Mus musculus: one gene and its partners. The protein of the gene in region 4 binds, or shares a complex with, the protein of the main gene of each other region. Links are inferred from orthologs where the notes say so. Each region holds a gene or a part of one and is shown on either strand. Other genes may lie near its edges.

Region 1 (3,994 bases), on a different chromosome or scaffold from region 4:
GTTTCAGCCTTTCCATTTTGTCCAATATAATGGCATACATTGATTGTATTTTTTTGATTTATTTTTTATGTACTTTAAATTTTTTATTTTATGTGTATGGTGTTTTGCCTGCATGTATACCTGTGCACTACATGTGTGCCTGATACCAGAAGAGGGCGAGGACACCAGATCCCCTGGAACAGAAGTTATGGGTGGTTGTGAGAGATGGGCGCAGGGAGCAGAAAGTGTTGTTAACTGCTCAGCCATCTCTCCAGTCTTGTGTATACTCTCTAGATGACTGGGCTCCCTTTCTTGTGAGCTATTTAGATCTCTTGTTTGTTTTTCTATTAGGTTTCTTCTTTTTCTTATTCATATGAAGGAGTTTGTCTTTTGAAAATATTAATCTCCTTTTTCTTTTTCATGTTGAAATCTTTTATGCAAATTTATGAGCTACCTGTTACCACACCTTTCACAGTCAATACATAATTAGCATTTAGTATTTATTTAACTTCCACACTGTCAAATTAATTTTGTGTGTGCTATATATATTATATTTATTGTGTTTAGAAAACTTGCCTATCTCAATGCCGAAATATATTATTCTTCCTTTTACTCCATTAAATTTATAGTTTAGAGTCAGCTATTGGATGGAGCACAGGGCCCCCAATGGAGGAGCTAGAGAAAGTACCCAAGGAGCTAAAGAGATCTGCAACCCTGTAGGTGGAACAACATTATGAACTAACCAGTACTCCGGAGCTCTTGACTCTAGCTGCATATGTATCAAAAGATGGCCTAGTAGGCCATCACTGGAAAGAGAGGCCCATTGGACACACAAACTTTATATACCCCAGTACAGGGGAATGCCAGGTCCAAAAAATGGGAATGGGTGGGTAGGGAAGTGGGGGGGGGGTATGGGGGACTTTTGGGATAGCATTCTAAATGTAATTGAGGAAAATACGTAATAATAAAAAAAATTTAAAAAAATTTATAGTTTACTTCTCATTTAATCTTTGAGGGTTTTTTTAACTAACATTTGTTGACTATTTACTGTGCACCAGGCACATGTTTTTATTAGATATTTTCTTCATTTACATTTCAAATGCTATCCCGAAAGTCCCCTATACCCTCCCCAACCCTGCTCCCCAAACCACCCACTCCTGCTTCCTGGCCCTGGCATTCCCCTGTACTGGGACATATGATCTTCACAAGACCAAGGGCCTCCCCTCCCAGTGATGGCCGATTAGGCCATTCTCTGCTATATATGCAACTAGAGACACAAGTTCTGGGGGTACTGAGCTTGTGTCTCTAGTTGCATATATAGGGTTCCTCCTATAGGGTTCCTCCTACAGGGTTGCAGACCCCTTTAGCTCCTTGGGTACTTTCTCTAGCTCCTTCATTAGGGACCCTGTGTTCCATCCAATAGCTGACTGTGAGCATCCACTTCTGTGTTTGCTAGGCCCTGGCATAGTCTCACAGAAGACAGCTATATCAGATTCCTGTCAGCAAAATCTTGCTGGCATGTGTAATAGTGTCTGGGTTTGGTGGTTTTTTGGTAAACCGTGGGCTGCACTCCATGAGTTCTAAGCCATTTTGTGTTCCTCCTGCATGGTCCTCAGCAGGTTCTACTCCTGGAACATACATGATGGTAGAAGGGGAGAACTGACTCTATAAAGTTGTCCTCTGACCTCTAAATAAATACATTCCACGGTACATACACTAATGCACACAAATCATGCCTACACACACGCATACCTGCACATACACACATGCACAGATGTATACACACACATACACACACAGAGAGAAGTATCTTTATACTTTTAAGTTCTTAAAATAAAAGCAGTGCTTTTATTATTTCTATTTTATATATGATGAAAGTGAAATAGAGCTTATATTTTCTGCTCAATTGTTTAGCAGAAATAAATGTAATGATCAGGTAACAAATTGAATCTTTAACAATTGTAATTCTTTTTAAATTGCAGACAGTTATGAAATTCCTGCTGTACTATGCTGGTGATCTGGCCAATGTGTTTTTTATCATCACAGTGGGAACAGGTCTTTATTGGCTTATTTTCTTCAAAGTGAGTGAGTTTCTGAACTTACCCTAAATGTCAATATCTGATTTTTATAAGAGACCTAATTCTGCTCAAGCTCACAGACAGCTGCGAATGCCCCACCCTTTGGTGTCCCGTTTGTGGAGATCAACGTGACTTGCTGTGTGTGTGCTTCCTTTGGTTTGTAAGTTGTGTAATAAGAGCCTTGTGTGATTGTTACTGTAGGCACAGAAGTCAGTCTCTGTTTTGCTGCCGATGCCAGTTCAGGAAGAACGTTTCGTTACTTATGTGGGGTGCGCCTTTGCTATGAAGGTAGGTTTCAAAGAACAGCTTACCCAATTTCAAAAACATGCTAAAAACCCAGTCTTTCAAATTCAATTAAAATTTTTGGTGTAAAATTGTCTTGGTTTTGAAAGAAAGCATCAGTTATTTTATTGTAGATAGGAAATGTGCCTTTATTTATAAATGTGCCCATTTAAAGTTATACCTTAAATCATGTCTTCAAAGAAGTTATAAATTTGCATTAGCAATCATGACTTACAGCTAATTTGACAAAATGATATTTCAGTGTTTAACTTTTTCTATAAAATTACAATGGGATGAAATAGTGGATTTTGTCTCTTTGTTAATGAGGATTAAAAGCTAAGTCTGGTGATGTGTTGGAATTGTAGAAATCAGTATTAACTTTCCCTCCTCATCCTTCTGTGGCAGCCACCCCTCCAGCTGTGCCTTCCCCCTTGTAGCTGACAGCTCCACACATACCTATTTAGTAGCCACATCCCATTGTCTTTTGGACGTGAAGTCTCTGCTTTAGCCACTGAGAGAGGAACTCTTCTGCAGAGTTACCATCCTGTACTTGGTCAACAATGCACCCAGGATGAGAACTCGGTGTAGATGGACCGTTCCTGTAACTGAGAGAAAGATGTTCCAACAACACACGGCTTTCTAGCTCAGTTCCAGAGACAGGAAAGACAGCAGGGGTATCTACTGCTTCTACGGGGCTTTGCAGCTTACCTTTGTATAAAGAAGTCAGACAATGTGCAGAGCCTAGAGGAAGGGAGTCATTTATGCAAGGGTCCTGTAGGAGAGGGGGAGGGAGGATATCTCCTCTTTTCTCATGTTCCTATTTTAAGGGGGGAAAAAAAAGAAGGCGAATTAATAGGTGTGTGGCTTGGTATATGATGTGCCCTTGTGATTATACTTGCTTTGTAAAGAGTATGTAGCTTTATAATTGCTCTTGAGTGATGATTCTTTTCAAGTGTTTTGTTGTATGTTACTTTTAGGCTCTCCAGTTTTTACATAAGTTCATATCCCAGATTTCCATAGATATATTCTTTATTGATTGGGAACGGCCGAAAGGAAAAGTTCTTAAAGCTGTTGAAGGTAACTGAAATTGGTGTTTGTGCCATAATTCTCTTGCTGCCTGCAGCGCAAAGGGAAAGTGCTGTACTCACGTGATCTCCCCTCCCAGGTGAGGGTGGTGTGCGGAGTGCCACTGTTCCTGTGAGCATATGGAGAACGTATTTCGTGGCAAATGAATGGAATGAGATTCAGACTGTGAGAAAAATTAATCCACTCTTTCAAGTGCTTACCACACTCTTCTTCTTGGAGGTATGTATGAGCTATCATATAATCATATGATGCTGCTTATTAACACTGCATAAGTGTTATTATCATCTCAAGTAATTTCTCAGACAGCGCAGCAGTTTTCTGTGGTAAAGTATTGTTGGCAAAACAGTATAAGGAAGTGTCCTTAACATTCCCCCTTTGTCCTTCCTATAAAACAAAAAAAAAAAAAGCAAAACTTAAATACGATGTGATGGGGCCTTAGAAAGTTGCCCATCAGAACCACTTTTAAATGCGGAGGTCAGTGCTATAGGTATATCCACATTGCAACAAATTCTCACCACATCTGCCTCCAGAGCTCTGTCTTACAACCCAAGCTCGTTGTGCCTATGCAA
Region 2 (4,496 bases), on a different chromosome or scaffold from region 4:
TAATACTATAGGGTCTCAGAAGGGAAGATGGGAGGATGGCTCAGTGGAGGGTGCTTACCTACCTATATGTAAGAGGCCTGGAGCTTATCTCCAATACTGAAAAAAAAAATCAGGAAATTACATGATTACAATGCTGTTGTTTAAGTTACAAACCCTATACAAAACTTGCCAAGCATCTCACCTCAGTCTTTTATAATAAAAGGGGGCGAGGGGGGGGCAATTCTTTTGCCTGGTTTGGGATCTCAGGTTCAGTTAGACACCCCCCTACCCCCCGTTCATTTAGAAGACCTCCAGTCTGTCTTTCATGACCTTTAACTGGCTTAGGAAAGGGAACCCCATGTATTACTTTAGGGAGACAGAATCATTTCTTCTTCTTCTTCTTCTTCTTCTTCTTCTTCTTCCTCCTCCTCCTCCTCCTCCTCCTCCTCCACCTCCTTCCTCTCTCTCTCTGCCAATTCCTTGAAACAAAAATTTAAGAAGTATCTATTTTCAAAGCTTCCCTTTGATATTATTCTAGTATTATCTTTTAATTTAAAAAAATTATAGCACGCATTACCTCGCTGGGTTTTGTTCTTGTTTTGGCTGTTATCAATCTCCCCACCTAGAATATAACCTGGAGGGACTTTATCGAGGTACTCTCAGATTTGGGGCACAGTGCCTGGCATCTGGGAGACATCAAATATTTGTTGAATAGATGAAATCCCTCTGGTCCTGAGCCTTGTCTTTTGGGCTGGTTTAGAGGCACAAAGAAAAAGGAATGGAGGGACCAGAGAGTGCAAGTGGGATGGGAGGTCCATTGACATGGGACTTGATTGTGAACTGGAAAGTGCTGAGAACTTTCCGATTCTCCGATCTGCAGGGATTTCATCCGAAGCCCCAAATCGGTCACATCACCCTAAGAAGAGGTTCTTGGTCTGTAACTGAGCAATGTCCGGGGCCTAACAACTCAGAGCAAGAGTGAAATCGGTGGTGGGTCAGCGTCCCAGCCTAGGCTAAGCGCAAGCAGTTCCAGTCCCCCGCTCCATTCTTCACCCTTTCAGATCCCCTCGGTTCCCGAGGCAGTCACCTCACCCACATCCAATTTTAACCATCCCAAGGCTGCTCATTTCTGCACTCGGCAAATCTCTCATGACACGGAGACAAGTTATTTAGGAAGAAATTAGAGTCATTCTTCGGCAAAGTTTTGCTCTAGGGCGGAAGGGGGAGTCCTCTGACAACCAGGGGCTAGGGGACTTAGCCTGACCCTGGGACAAGCTCGGTGCATCAGCCTCTCCTCGTTCGTCCCCTCGACTCCTAGCGCCCAAGGCAGTGAGTGGGAAGCACAGGAGAAGGGAGGATTTGGTGGTTCTGGCTGCATCCTCTTGGGTCCATCAACGGCTCACGTACCGCGCCTATAGACGTTGGTAGAGGGAGCAGCACTATCGCGAGACTTCCGAAAGCAGCAGCGTGGCGCTTGCGGACGCAGTTACCATGGCAGCCGGGCGGCGCCCGAGCGCGCGGGAAGGACACTTAAGTAGAGAGGTCTGGCCTGCTTGCTCAGGGAGACTTGATGAGTGACCCACCCCAGACTTCCAACCTCAAAACCCACGGCCTCCACTCGAGGCCCCCGAGGCCATGGGTCGGATCTCCGGGCTCGTGCCCTCTCGGTTCCTGACGCTCTTGGCTCATCTGGTGGTTGTCATCACGTTGTTCTGGTCCCGGGTAAGACGCGGACAGGGCGCGCGTGCGCGTGCCCTCCTGGCCCTCCCATTCTCATCTTGGAGTGGACCCAGCTCAGCTCAGTCCACTCACACAGGGTCCGTTCGTTGCTCCGTTCCCCGGCCCCTTCCCAACTTGTCCCCGCAGCCCCATTCCTCTTTTGACATTTCTTTCTTTCTGCCCGGCTCGCCAGGAAAGCAACATCCAGGCTTGCCTGCCTCTCAAATTCACCCCGGAGGAATACGAAAAGCAGGACAACCAGTGAGCTCTTGGGGCGGGGTGAGAGTGCAGGGGTCTTCAACAGAATCCAGAAACCTTGGTCCAAGCCCTTTTCTCTCTGCAGGCTGGTAGCCGCGCTCTGTCTCACCCTGGGCCTCTTTGCAGTGGAGCTGGCTGGCTTCCTCTCAGGAGTCTCCATGTTCAATAGCACCCAGAGCCTCCTCTGTATCCTTTTTATTTGGCCATCGTCCTCAGGTGACTCATCCCAGTTACCACTCTTTCCACCTCTGTAGGCCTTTGGGGCACAAGTGTCTGCTCTACATGGTAAACCGAATCTCTCTCTAGGTGAGAGGTTTTAGACACTGTTGGGGAATTAATAGACTTCAAACATTCGTTAAATCCGGATGTGAGCCAGGTTCTGGCGATCCCTGGATGGGAGTAAAATCATTTTATCCCGTTTGAAGAGGTGGCAGACAAACATCTGTAAATCAGTGTGATTAAACAGTATGCTTGTAGGTGTGTGTAAAATACAAAGCACTATGGGAACTCAGAAGGGACCAAGAAAATAGAGCCCAGGTGTGGTTCTGCAAGCCTTTAATCCTAGTGCACGGGAGGCAGGGGCAGGTGAATTTTTTGGGTTTTTTTAAATCTTATTTTACTTATATATTTAGGTTATCTAAGACAGGGTTTCTCTATGTAGACCTAGGCTGTCCTGGAACTCAGTAGACCAGGCTGGCCTCGAACTCCGAAATCCACCTGCCTCTGCCTCCCAAGTGCTGGATTAAAGGCATGCACCACCACTGCCTGGCTTGTTTTGTTTTGTTTGTTTGTTTGTGTTTTTAAAAAGGTAGCTCTTTACTCTTGAATTGTGGACAAGGAAGACCAGGGCACTGGAGAAATCCCCAGTGTATCAGATCTGTAGGTATTCTTGTGTGGCCTAGGGCATATATGACATTAACCTTCCCAGAAGTGTACAGAGTGTACAGGGAGAGGTCCTATCAAAGCAAACTCAGCTCTGGTCTCTTACACATAACTGTCCATAAATTCAGAAGGCATTGGCTGCCAACTCTGGCGCTTGTCTTAAGGGAAGGGTACAAGCTGAACCCAAGTCCAGGTACCAACGGGGCCCATCACGAACCGATTACTTTCCTTGACCCCCTCTGTATTGTTAAGCCATTGCAGCCCACTGTAGCGCGTCTGTGGCCCTGTCTTTCTTCGTATTCGAGCGATGGGAATGTACCACGTACTGGTACATTTTTACCTTCTGCAGGTGCCCTAGCACCCAATATTTTGGAATGGGGGGGGGTGGTGGAAAATCGATCCCAAATCTGAAGGTTTCCCCCACCTAGACCTTTCCTGCACATGTGAAATTGGTAGAGTTTTGAAGAGTCATACCCACCCTAACCCACCCGCATATAAGGTTTGGAGGTTCAAGTGTTTGGGTTGGAAGGGGCTCTAACTCCCCCCCCTCCCCCGCGGCCCCGTACTTTTCACAGCGCCTTCCCAGCTGTCACTGAAACTGCATTATTCATCGCTGTCTTTGGGCTGAAAAAGAAACCCTTCTGATCACAATCCGGGTGTAGGGACCAAGGCTGGAAAAGTGATGAAGCTTCCTCCCACTGCTGCAAGAAAAAGGCAGAGGCTTCAGTTTTCTCTCGCCCAAGTCCCTTGCTCCTCCCAACTGCGGCTAAGCAGAGGATGGCAGTGTTGGAATAAGATCTCTCAAATCTTGGATTATAATTTTATTAGAGTTTTGTAATAAAATTTATTTTATAACAAGAGCAAGGCGTATACTATTTTTCAGAAGACCATTGGATGGGCCAAGAGGCTGGTATAAATAAAGGCTTTTATCTTGTGGTTAGGGCTAGAAGTAATGCTTCTATTTGGGTTTTTACGCTAGAAGCTAGGCGGAAGTGAGTGGGCGGGGATATGCAAATAACTATCTCACATAGCGCTTCTAATTTGCCGCGTGTGAGGGGAGCATTCTGGGATGGTTTTGTTTCTCCCTTTTTGTGCCGAATGGAGAATAAAATACTTCAAACGACTTGCAAATAGATATTATTCTTGCGTTGCAAGAACTGTAAGTCACTGGGCTCGTGCTAAAGTGACGTATTCTCACCCTTCCTTTAATAGGAAATGTCTCTACTTATTTAGCAATGGGCTCCCTCTGCCTTTTATCGTCAGGAGGTTAATCCTTACCTGTTCCTCCTTTCGGAGGGCAGTAGAAAATGATGATTGGAGCTTGCATGATCTGCTGATTAGCATTTCCATGCAATCAGGACCTGACAACATCCTGGTTGCTCCTATCTGATTCCCTGGCGATCACACTTTTCCAATGTGCTGATTGGTAGACCTTTACAGCCAGACTGTGTGCTGTTTATAATTTGTCCTAAACTGGCCAGTCATAGTTTTAAGGTCTTCACTTCTATGGTAAACAATGCCATCAAGGTGGCTGTTGGTTGTTTGCCCAGCTCCTGGAAAGCACCCATGGCCACTCCTTATGCTTGCCAGGAGGTGCTTTCTGATAATTCCTTAACTATTACCTAAAGCATCTCTTGTCTTCTTCCCCACATTCAATT
Region 3 (4,781 bases), on a different chromosome or scaffold from region 4:
TACATTACAATTCATAAAAGTAGCAAAATTACAGTTATGAAGTAGCAATGAAATAATTTTTTAGTTGTGGTCACGACAGCATAAGGAACTGTGTTAAAGGATGGAAGCACTAGGAAGGCTCTATTGCATTAGAGGCTTGAGAATAAAAATGGGGCCAGGTGTGGCCGGCCTTGCTTGTAATCTTCGTAGTTAGTAAGAGAAGGATCACCAGATCCATATGGGCAACCTGGCCCATAGCTGGACTTCATTACAAAGCCCTGTCTTAGGGATAAATAAATTAATAAATGGAGCTGGAGAGCTGGCTTAGCAGTTCAGAGCACTGGCGGTTCCTCTAGAGGATCCTGGTTTAATTCCCAGGGCCCATAGGGCAGTTTACAACTGTCTATAACTCCAGTTCCAGGGGATCCGAGGCACCAGGCATCACATAGTATACATATATGTGCATGTAGGCAAAGTACCCACACACAGAGAATAAAATAAGCAAAGCAGCAAGGTAAGTACATAAATAGTAAAAGCAGGCGTGGTGGCTCACAACTGCAGTCTCAGCGCTGAGCAGGCACAGGCTGGAAGACCGAAACACAAAGTCTTTAAGGTCATCCTAGGCTACAAAACCAAGCCATCCTGGATGACATGACATGCAGTCTCAAGAAACTAAAAGGGTATGTGTTGGTGGCCTGGGGGAAGAGTCTTGACCATCTGAAGAATAAAAGAGTGCAATGATGTTAAAACAAAACAAAACTTCCAAAGCAAAAACTTTTGCATTAGTTACCTAATGAGAGTGTGTTAGAAGCCCTCCCCAGGCTGGGTGGCTGGCGGTAGTAGCAGAGGGGAGGGAGAGGTTGACAAATCTCTGAGTTCGAGGCCAACCTGGTCAACAGAGCAAGTTATTTGACAGCCAGCGCTACACAGAGAAACCCTGTTCTAACAAATAGAAAGAAACGCTTTCCAGATGTTTAAATAAGATTTGCCGAGTCTCCACCTCTTTCATGAGAATCCTCTACTGACATTCCACGGGGGAAGCTGGAGCCTGCGCTCCCCTCCCACTCCCACCAGGCCCCATCGCACCTCCCCCTCTCTCATCCCTTCAGTTTCCCTAGGTGCGCATTTTGCTTAGTCAGCCTTTCATGTCGTAACTAAGACTACTACGCAAGTCCGGTTCGCAACCTTGACTGCGCATCCTTCCTAGCGTCTTCTCGTGGCTTATTTCCTTGCAGTTAACAATTACTTTACTTGCTTGCTTTGTTTTCTCTAAGTGCATGAAATTTCAACAAAACGCTTCCACTGGCATTCAGACGTGCATGACTTAAGTCTGGGCCTCACGTCTGTAGTCCCAGCTTCGTAGCTGGCTGAACTGGGCTTACAGCTTGGGCAGGCAACATAGCAATAACCCATCTCAAAAAGAATAAAAAAGCTGTAGGATTTAGTTAAAGCTTTGTTTATTCACTTACTAATTTTAATAGTAAAACGATTGGAGCAAATTAAAAAAAAAAAAAATCAAGGATGGGTAATGAGATAGCTCAGCAGGTAAAGACTCCTGCAGCCAACCCTGGGAATCCAAGCTGGATTCCCGGGACAGTGACAGGAGGGAACTGACCCCTCCAAGTTGTCTTTTGACTTTACATGCCAGCGCTACGCTTTTGAGACTGAATAGCCCTGAGCTTGCTGTATAGGTCAGGGAAGGGGGGGGGCAATCCTGCCTCAGGTGGAGGTTAGAAACAAAATATTTACTAACAAACACCTAGTTAAAGTCATCACTCTGCCCATGTCATTATATGAACGGCAAGGGATGACCGTAAGGAAGCACTTGATTTATGCGAAAGTAAACACTAAACTGCAGCCAGTAAAATGTTTCCCTTACACAGGAGACAGCTGCAGTGTGGCAAAGAGTTGAGAAGCCTAACCCAGACAGGCGTGGCTTGGCTAGAGCAGGACCTGAGAATTCAACCAATCACCGCTTGCCCCGCCCTACCCCGCATCAAGTCTGCATAAAAACACTGGTACTTTCTGTCTTTACAGCTTGGTGATGTTCAAACTCAGCAGCGTACTGGGGTGTACAGAACTCCGCCTACAAGCCCTCAAAGGGGTTTTTTCTTCAGCCACCTTTCCATTCAGAAAATGACCAGCACCAGAAACAGGCTCTGGACTCTTGTTGTCCGGCAAACACAGTGCCTGCACGGCTGCCTTTCTAGGGAAACCTGGAGAAACTGAATAAAACTATCTAGAAAGTTAAGCATGCGCAGGCCAAAGGGACTTTTGTTTCCAACCCTCGTGGCTCCTTAAGATCCAAGCTGTGGGACTGAGAGTGGCTCAGTGGTTAAGTCCTTGCATGCAAGCACAAAGCCTTGGGTTTGATTCCCAGCACCCCATATACCCCAGCAGGGCGTTGCATAGCGAATCCCCGGCACTGGGAAGGTGAAGGCCGAGTATCAGTTGTTGAAAGACGACTTTGGCTATATAGTTTAAGGCAAGCCTGGGATACACGAGACTCTGCTCTCACACCCGGTCAAATGACCCAAACTGGGATCTCACTCCATCCTATCACCCCCAGGATCCGGGCGGGAACCACGCACCGACACGAGCGGGACGCGCAGGTGAGCCCCCTGCAGCCGGTTGAAGGTGGGGAACGTGCTCCAGGCGAGGAAGGCTTCAGGCTCCGGCCCCAGGAGAGCCACGAGCAGCACTTGGTGCTGGAAGCGCACGTTCGGCTGCTCCTCGTAGCTGCTCCGCTTCAGCCAAAACCCTGCGGGAGACAAGGCGGGTTGGGGGGAGCCAGGTTAGGATTGCCGGCCTGGGCCCGCCGGCCGCGCCGTGTGGCCCTCCAGGCCCGGGCAGGCTCACCGTGGCTCCGGAAGGCCACCAGCAGCGGGGGGATGTAGGTGAGCGCGGTGGTCAACAGCAGGAAGAGCGCGGCCTTGGAGCAGAGCCCCGCGCGGTAAGCGCGCTCGATTGGGTGAGAGAAGAGATGGTACAGCGCCATGAGCGCAGGGCCGCAGCGCCGAGTCTCCACGGCAACCGACGGCGGGCAGAGGAACCAATAGCAGGCATGCAGGCCTCTAGAAGGGGGTGGAGCTAGCAGGAGGAGGGTCCTGTGTTAGTGCTGTGCCTGCGCGTCTCTTCAAGAAGGCAACTGTATGGGCTGGTGAGATGGCTCAGCCGGTAAGAGCGCTGACTGCTCTTCCAAAGGTCCTGAGTCAAATCCCAGCAACCACATGGTGGCTCACAACCATCCATAATGAGATCTGACGCCCTCTTCCGGAATGTCTGAAGACAGCTACAGTGGTGTACTTACATATAATAAATAAATCTTAAAAAAAAAAAAAAGAAAGCAACTGTAATGATATTTTCACTCACCAAAGTCTGTGTCAATTGTACAAAATCAGACGTGCATAGATGTTGACATCACCCCATAGATCATCTATTAACTCATGACATAAGGATGGTTGATGTAGCTTAGTTGGTAGAGGGCTAGCCTACTATACAGGAAGCCCTGAGTTCATCTCCAGCACTTCATTAAACCAGGCACCTTGGCCCACATCTGTAACACTAACAACTCTTCAGGTGAAGACAGAAGGATCAGAAGTCCAAGGTCATCTTTAGCTACATTGTGAGTTTGAGACCAGCCAGAGATACTGGAGACTTTGTTTCAATGCAAAAACTCCATTGAGGTTCATACTGAAGTCGGGACATTCCTATAACAAGGCCACCGTCCTAGAACCAGGTACTTTTGTCTTCAAGGTTAATGCTTTCACTATGCCCCATAGCAGGAAAGATAGAAAACAGGAAACAAACCCCCTGATTATTTAAAGGTTAGAACAAAAACAAAAAATAAAAGGCCGGGCGTAGTGGTGCACGCCTTTAATCCCAGCACTCAGGAGGCAGAGGCAGGCGGATTTCTGAGTTTGAGGCCAGCCTGGTCTACAAAGTGAGTTTCAGAACAGCCGGGGCTACACAGAGAAACCCTGTCTCGGAAAAAAAAAAAAAAAAAAAAAGGTTAAAGGGTATTTTACTAAATGGCTCCTTCTGTTGTACTTTGTTAGCTATAAACACTGATACTGTCTTCCCCAAAGTTAGCATTAGCTGATCACTTAGGTAAATACTAACACCAATATCTTAACATGGAAGACAGATTTTTACCTGTTTGGAAGTAGGGTCTTACTATGTAGCCTGTGCTGGCCCTCAATTCTCCTTTCTCCAGGTCCTCTGCAAGAACAATCGGTGCTCTTAACAATTGGGTCATCTCTCCAGCTCCCACCATCTATCTTAATTCTGGAAAGGCTGTCCTCTGACCTCTACATGCCTGTCATGGTGCTCATCTGCATCTATGCACAAATAATGAATAAGTAAATGTAGTGTAACATGTAAGTAAGCTGGAGAGGCCGGTTTTCCAGAGGATCAAGGTTTGACTTTCAGCACCCACACAGGGGCTCAGAGCCAACTGTAACTCCAGTCCTAGGGGATCCAACAGCTTCTGTGGGCACTGCAGACACATGGTCCATAGACACACACGCAGGCAAAACACCCAAACACATGTAGTTAAAATAAAGGTGTTGGCACACAGCTTTGATCCCAGTGTTTAGGAGACAGAGGCAGTCAGATCTCTGAGTTCTAGGCCAGCCTGGTCTACAGAGTGACTTCCAGGACAGCCAAGGCTACAATGAAAAACCTTGTCTCAAAAAATAAATAATAATAATAATAGGAAATATAAATGTATTTTTAAATTAAAAAATAAAAACTGTGCTTAAATAACCGTTTTGGAATGGCTGAATGTAATGTAGATTCTT
Region 4 (3,994 bases):
GAAACCTTGTTCCTCAACTGGCGTGCCAATATCCCGTTGCTAGGAGCTGCTGCAGGTGCAGTGGGTGTGAACAGCAGATGCCCTGGGCCGGCTTCCCTTGGCACTAATAACGGGTGTCTTTACCCAGTGCCGCGAAGCTAAGAGCCATACCCCAGGTTCACTGGAGGCTGAGTACAGGGGTTAAGCACCCCTTGGAATGGGGATCTAGTGAGGCTCCTCTCCCCACTGAGCCACTCCTTATAAATATACAAAGCAGATAATGAGAGGCCTGAAGCAGCTGTGACAAGAAATAGCTGGGCAATTAGGGGAGAATGGAGCGCACACCTCCGCTGAGGACGGCCCACGCGTTGCTGCTAAGACAAAAGGAGGAGGTGGGCAGAGGAGTCACGTGTGACCAGGAAGCTATTTGTAGGATGCCAGCGTCCATGAAACTCTTTGGGGAACTTTGGAATTGAAAGAGCTCATGTGGGGGTGGACTGCCATTACAGCCCAGAGGGCATGAAATGGAAGGAGTGGAGACAGGAGGCCACACCTATGTCCCTCTTGTCACCCAATGCTCGAGGAAGGCTTGCTGCATCACTGCCATCAAAGCTGACCGTCCTGGACTGGAGGACTGCAGGAAGGTCTGGAGGGCCTGATGTCCTGGGTTTTTGGAATATTTGCACAACCATGATGACTGAGAAATATATGCTGGCCGGGGAATCCGCTGTTCATGTCCACCTCTCACAGACAGTTTTGACAGTGGCCACCACACGAGGCCATTGGTAGTAACATGAGGCCATTGGTTGGCATTAAACATGGTTCAGATTTGGATGTCACTCTTTTGGGTTAGGGGATTTCTCAACCATGTTCAACTATGGTTCCATTTTACGGAGTGACCACTGTGTCCAGCCAACAGCCAAACAAGTGACCCTCTGGATAACCCTGAGTGGCCAGTGATAGTTTCTGGAGGGCTCTAGCAGGCCGAGCACGGCAACCATGACTCTGGCAGGCCTGACTCCTCTCCCCATTCCCTCCACCTTGTTAGATCATTAGATGACATCCTTAAAGCCAGCCGTGGAGGTCTGCTCCCTCATTTAGCCACCTCCTCCTCCTGGGGCTGACCACCAAGGTCCAGCTATCAAGGTATTGAAGTCCAGCAATCAAAAGCACCCTCCAGCTGCCCTAATTAACATGCCTAATTAAAATGAAACACTTCATCCCTTAGAAATTTCTATTTGCCTATGGGCCTTGTCTGTCTCCTCTCTATCCAGAGGCACTTCTTTGTCCCTGCAGGGCAAATATCACGCCCCCAGCCCCCTCTCCCTTGTTCCCCTTCCCTTCTCCCTCACCCTCTATCTCCTGTCTTTGTCTTTTATTCCCTGCTCTCCTTTGTCCTGGGAACTTGCTCTTGGGGTCCTAGGCTGATTCTGGTCCTTTCAGTTTCCATTGCACAGGGACTGCAGAAGTTTGAAAACTACTAGTCAAAGGCACTGTGAGGAAAAGCGGAGCTGGGCAAACTGCCCAGTTTGGTTGCAGCCACTTCCCTCCTTCTCTCCCTCCCTCTCTCCCTCCCTCTGGTCCCTCCCTCCCTCGTGCCTCCCCAGCCACCTGTGGCCCACCTGGCCCATGAGCAGGTGGCCAGCAGCCCCTCACACTCTTTACCTTCATGTTGGAGGAGTAGGTGACAAAGTGCACAGGCACCCAGTCCTGCACATCCTGGGCCCGGGAGTTCCCAAAGGCAGCCACATAGTCAGGGAAGGCCTGGCCTCTCAGCAGGTCCTGCACCTTCTGTGCCAGAAGCCCACAAGGGATGGTGCCTGTCAACCTTTGGGAAGGAAAGAGAGGCCGAAGGAGGGAGGTGCTGACAACCTCCAAGACTCGCCAGCCTCTATACTTCTATCCTTCTTTCCTCCAAGTGCTGATGTGGCCCTGACTTTGGGGCATCCTGGTCATGGAGATGGTCCAAAGCAGTTTCCCAACCAGTGATCCACCATTTCTCCCTCTATGAACATTGTGGCATGGGCAGAAGCCAGGCAACACAGTGCTTTTCCCACATCCTGTCCTCCTAAAGGGTGCTGGAACACCAAGTTCCACAGGAGGGAACCAGGGATTATCCTGGGCTCCTGCATCCTGGCATCCTGTGGCAGTGTTTGGTGGAACTCTTAGGAAGCAACACTGATCTGAGATCAGAGCTAGCAATCAAACTAGTAACAGAGTCACTCCAAAGAGGTGGGAAGGGCATGGGGGTGAGAACGGAAGGGAAAAAGAGAAGGATTTGTACAGAGTAGGAATTCAGCAACAAATATGGAGAACCAAAGCTCCAAAGATGCTATTATAGAACTCAGGGGGCTGAGGCAGGAGGGCCAGGAGTTTGAGTCTGCCCTGAGCTACATAGGGAGACCTTGCCTCCCACAGCACAGCTTTCTCTCAGTTGTTCTGTTGTGCTGTGTGGGTAAAAATTAAAAATTCAGAAATAGAAGGATTTTCAGAGGAAACACTTTTGCTCAGAACTTAAATGCTAGTTGCTATTTGACCTTAAGCACGATGTGTCAAGCCCCAAGGTGAGGAAAGAGGGAAGGCTGCGGCACTTGTGCTAGTGACGTGGTTAAAATGGAAGGGTGTGTGCTCTCTGCCACAGTCACTCACCTGAGCTGACAGCCAGACTGCACATTGTAGCCAAATAGCACAGGGGTGCGAAGCCCCTCGCTGGCAAGGCAATCCTGCTGGCTCGTGCTACGAAGAATAGTAAATTGGCCTTGTCTGTTCGTTGTCTGAATAATCCCAGATATTCACAGGCTGTTAAGGGACAGTCAACAGTTCAGAGCAGACAGACTGTCTAGGAAGAAAATGGCATCATGCGTACTCAGTGAGACCAAGCTCTTCCCAGCCCCTGGCCTGTTACCAGGAAGGGGCAAACATGCCAGTAAATCTCTTCCTTGATTGGCCCATCTTCGAAACTAGTTCCAGCCGGCTGCAGTGGCCAGGCCCATAATCAAGCTCCTCCAAAGGCTAAGGAGGGTTGCACATTTGAGGACTGACCGCCTGAACTACAAGTGAGTTTGAGACCAGTCAAGGCAACTTGCCGGAAGGAACCTTGTTTCAAAATGACGTGTAAGGAGTGGGCCAAGGCTCAGCCCGGTGGCAGAGCACTCTCCTAGTATCTCAAGACCTGATTTCAATCCTCACCAATGCAGAAAACAGACAATTTATCTGCAAAGCCACTCTGTTTGCTTAAGAGTCTCTGTTTAAATGTGAGCTGGCCAGGTATGACAGCACATGCCTGTGGTCAAGAGGCTGAGACAGGAGGATCCTGAAATCAAGGCCAGGCCACAGCCAGCCTGAGATCTGAAGCAACGTCAAAGTGTGACCTTTGGTTACTTGACTCAGGAGGCAAGGCAAAAGGATCTGTGTCAGTTTGAGGCCAGGCTGGTCTATATTGTGAGCTCAGTACATAGCAAGAGAGACTTTCTCAAAAACACAAAACCAAAAGTGAACAAATGAATCAAAGAGTCAAACCCTTCTACATCTAGCTGTCCTTTTAAATGCACTGCCACCTTCCCCCCAAGCACCAGGCTCTCCTTAAACATTCCAGTGGCCTGGAGTGGCCAGTCAGGTATCTCTTTCCCATAGGCTACCACAGCCCACCCATGCAGACAGGAAGGTGACTTTCTCTGCGGACCTCCAAAAGGATACCCCTTCTGAGGCTGAAAGCCAGCAGCCAGCGGGAGTCCCACCCTGTAACCAGGGTTGCCGCTGAGAGGAACAGGCTTGGTGCCATGCTGAAAGACAAGGTGATGCCCCGGGCTACAGTATTTAGGTACAAGCGGGGGCAACCCAGTGCTTCTCACTGTAACATCTGGAAGAACAGCTCCCTCTGTTCTCAAGTATAAATAGATCCCGGAGAGTGGGAGGACAGCACTCGGTGAGCCTGCCAGGCACGGGACAGCACCCGGCTTCCAGGCAAACCCCACAGCTCCTGCAGCGCAGCCTGGGAGCTGGGTCATGCTTCTAG
Region 5 (2,719 bases), on a different chromosome or scaffold from region 4:
TAGGCTTTAAGATCCTCATCTTAGCTGCCTTGAAGCCAATATTCTGCTAGCAGCCTTCAGATGAAGATGTAGAACTCTCAGCTCCTCCTGCACCATGCCTGCCTTGATGTTACCATGTTCTCACCTTGATGATAACGGACTGAACCTCTAAAGCTGTAAGCCAGCCCCAATTAAATGTTGTCCTTATAAGAGTTTCCTTGTTCATGGTGTCTGTTCACAGCAGTAAAACCCTAACTAAGACATACTGTTTTCAATCCAAATTTCATATATGAATCTAATAGCTATTTAGCAGTTTGTTAGTGACCATGAATGAGTTAGTGATGAGATCAGGAATTAATGTGCCTACCATTGCCTGCTTGCTATATATCAGGCTTTCTCATGTTACAACTCCAATTTAAACAATCTCATGGGTCTAGAGAGATGGCTCAGCTATTAAGAACACTGGCTGTTTTTCCAGAGAATTCAACTTTAAGTCATAGCCCCACATGGTGGCTTACAACTTTCTGTGACTCTAGTCCCAGAGGATCTGACATCCTCTTCAGGCCTTCATGGGCATCAGGCATGCATGTGGTACACATACATGCAGGCAAAATACCCATAACACAAAAATTAGAAAAAAACCCAAACAATCCCATAAACCTAATAGTTCAAAAGAACTACACAGATAAGCATGACATGTTGTGGATATTTTAATATCAATAGCTTATGTTTTATGGCCTTCTATTAATTCTTTTCTTCATACCATATATTTTTCATGTTTTCCCCTTTCCCAACTCCATCTCATCTTTTTACTCTTTAATAATAAGACAGAAATGCCAAAACCAAAGCAAAATAAAACAAAAAGTCCACAAGAATACCACGGAGTTCATTTTATATTAGCTGACTCCCCCTGAGCTAGGACATGTCCTGGAGGGTGTTGTCACACTTGGTGAGATTCCACTGAACAAAGCAATTTCGTCTGAAGTGCCATACATTTCTTGTCACAGATTATAATCAGAAATATTATAGAAACGGTGGTATGAAACTGCCAACAGACTCATCCAACATCAGGAATATCCCCTCAGCTGCAGGGTTGATATGAGTGAGCCTTGGCATTGCCTCCATGGGGATTTCAGAGCTGGAGGACACACCCCAGCACGTATGTCCCCTTTCTCGGGCCCGACTCAGATGTCCTGTCACTCTCTCACTTCCTGGTCCTCTTGTATCATCTTTCTGTCGTTCACCACTCAGCATATGGTCAGCAGGTGGTCAGAGCTCTTCCGTGCATTGTCTTACCCTCCTTACAGCTGCACTGCTTGAAGACAGCTGATCAAAGTCCTGGAGGTGGAAACGGGCTGCCAGCTGGTTGACCATTTTCTTTAGGGTCAGAAATGCTGAGATGACTTGGAAAGTAAGAAAGATGGTGAAGATGATATGTATTGCTTTCTCCAGGGGCAGATTCCTTAGGCCATCATTAAGGAGCAAGAAAAGGATTAAAGGCAACTGCAGTAGAAGGCTCAGAAGCCAAAAGCCAGCTAGCTCAGGAACCTGCAGTGACACACATTGAGTGTTGTAAGATCAGTAGAATACAGTTTTGGTTTTGTTATACAGTCAGACATATACTTAGCAATACAAAGAAGCTATATTATAGGCTCTGTGAGTAGTTCAGGAGCATGCCATAGTCCTTGTATTCAGAGAAATCTACTGTCTAGATGAGAAAACCAATTTAATGTAAAGCAACTAACACCACTGAATGATGAACCACTACATTTAAAGGTCCAGACCAACTACCACAGAAGTCAAATGAAAGGTAGGCTTCGAGCTGTACACAATGGGAGCTCTCCTACCTGGAAGCTTGGGTATGACTAGGAATCAACACAGCAACCTAGCATGGATGGTTGGCTTAAGAAATACCAAGAAAATCAATAAGATGTTCTAGGTGGGGCCTGTTATGAAGGGCCTAGCAAACCACAGGAATTATTTAACCACTTTAGAAACTGTAAACACTTAGGCAGGATGATGATTCAGAAAACACAGACCAAGCACTGAATGACCATTATTATAGCTATATACACGCATAGAATGCCCATCATGGCAATCTTATTCACCCCATTACCCTCCCTGTCTCTCCCACTCTTGTTCCCACTCCTCTACAGTTGACCAAAGATTTCATTAAGTTTAGATACTTCATAAGATCATTGCACTTCATCCCAGAAACATGTCAAGTGTTATTTTCCTTGTCTAGTATATGAAGAAACCAGAGCTCAAAAGATCAGACAGTGACTTAAGTCTTCACGTTGGAGCTGCCCTTTAGACCCAGACTGGTGCCACTTCACACCGGCCATTGCATTACTTGTAAAAAACCTTAACCCTCTATTGTAGCCCTGCGGGGAAGGGAGGAACCCACCTTCTCCTGAAGGTTACCCATGCAGCCCAGGTATAACCGGATCGCTTCAATCAAGGTTATGAGGATGACGACAGTAACCACAATGAATTTGTAGTAGTCAGGCAAGATGGAATACTAAAAAGAAAAGGCAAAACATCCTTGTAAAATCTTCCATTGAGTGACATGGGCCTGGGGTGGAAGGGGTTTTGAGAAAGGGTCAGAAGAGAGCAGTGGGCGTGATGGAGACTCACCTTCAGGTGCAGCATCACAATGCAGCTCACCCACCACAGTGGGAAAAAGTAAGAGTTAAAATAAAGGGACATCTGCAAGGCCAGGCTGGAGACCATTTCATTA

Evidence for each region.
Region 1: Tctn1 (region 4) and Tmem67 share a complex: the UniProt entries of both Homo sapiens proteins name them as parts of the tectonic-like complex. The link is inferred for Mus musculus from reciprocal best matches to the Homo sapiens genes TCTN1 and TMEM67.
Region 2: Tctn1 (region 4) and Tmem107 share a complex: the UniProt entries of both Homo sapiens proteins name them as parts of the tectonic-like complex. The link is inferred for Mus musculus from reciprocal best matches to the Homo sapiens genes TCTN1 and TMEM107.
Region 3: Tctn1 (region 4) and Tmem231 share a complex: the UniProt entries of both Homo sapiens proteins name them as parts of the tectonic-like complex. The link is inferred for Mus musculus from reciprocal best matches to the Homo sapiens genes TCTN1 and TMEM231.
Region 5: Tctn1 (region 4) and Tmem17 share a complex: the UniProt entries of both Homo sapiens proteins name them as parts of the tectonic-like complex. The link is inferred for Mus musculus from reciprocal best matches to the Homo sapiens genes TCTN1 and TMEM17.

The regions. Positions count from the first base shown.
Region 1 is NC_000070.6:12,053,097-12,057,090, reverse strand, and holds part of Tmem67 (meckelin precursor), read left to right. Parts: intron 1-1,961; coding exon 1,962-2,060; intron 2,061-2,258; coding exon 2,259-2,345; intron 2,346-2,795; exon of another isoform or gene 2,796-2,944; intron 2,945-3,047; exon of another isoform or gene 3,048-3,316; coding exon 3,317-3,416; exon of another isoform or gene 3,417-3,504; coding exon 3,505-3,644; exon of another isoform or gene 3,645-3,809; intron 3,810-3,994. UniProt on the Homo sapiens protein: Required for ciliary structure and function. Part of the tectonic-like complex which is required for tissue-specific ciliogenesis and may regulate ciliary membrane composition.
Region 2 is NC_000077.6:69,069,333-69,073,828, forward strand, and holds Tmem107 (transmembrane protein 107), read left to right. Parts: upstream 1-1,476; 5' UTR 1,477-1,614; coding exon 1,615-1,701; intron 1,702-1,891; coding exon 1,892-1,959; intron 1,960-2,041; coding exon 2,042-2,142; intron 2,143-3,090; coding exon 3,091-3,187; coding exon of another isoform or gene 3,188-3,266; exon of another isoform or gene 3,267-3,413; coding exon 3,414-3,483; 3' UTR 3,484-3,961; downstream 3,962-4,496. UniProt on the Homo sapiens protein: Plays a role in cilia formation and embryonic patterning. Requires for normal Sonic hedgehog (Shh) signaling in the neural tube and acts in combination with GLI2 and GLI3 to pattern ventral and intermediate neuronal cell types.
Region 3 is NC_000074.6:111,930,790-111,935,570, forward strand, and holds the start of Tmem231 (transmembrane protein 231), read right to left. Parts: upstream 3,025-4,781; 5' UTR 2,978-3,024; coding exon 2,839-2,977; intron 2,741-2,838; coding exon 2,571-2,740; intron 1-2,570. UniProt on the Homo sapiens protein: Transmembrane component of the tectonic-like complex, a complex localized at the transition zone of primary cilia and acting as a barrier that prevents diffusion of transmembrane proteins between the cilia and plasma membranes.
Region 4 is NC_000071.6:122,243,857-122,247,850, forward strand, and holds part of Tctn1 (tectonic-1 precursor), read right to left. Parts: intron 3,762-3,994; coding exon 3,676-3,761; intron 2,819-3,675; exon of another isoform or gene 2,770-2,818; coding exon 2,629-2,769; intron 1,808-2,628; coding exon 1,645-1,807; intron 1-1,644. UniProt on the Homo sapiens protein: Component of the tectonic-like complex, a complex localized at the transition zone of primary cilia and acting as a barrier that prevents diffusion of transmembrane proteins between the cilia and plasma membranes.
Region 5 is NC_000077.6:22,517,189-22,519,907, reverse strand, and holds the end of Tmem17 (transmembrane protein 17), read right to left. Parts: coding exon 2,617-2,719; intron 2,501-2,616; coding exon 2,387-2,500; intron 1,528-2,386; coding exon 1,249-1,527; 3' UTR 677-1,248; downstream 1-676. UniProt on the Homo sapiens protein: Transmembrane component of the tectonic-like complex, a complex localized at the transition zone of primary cilia and acting as a barrier that prevents diffusion of transmembrane proteins between the cilia and plasma membranes.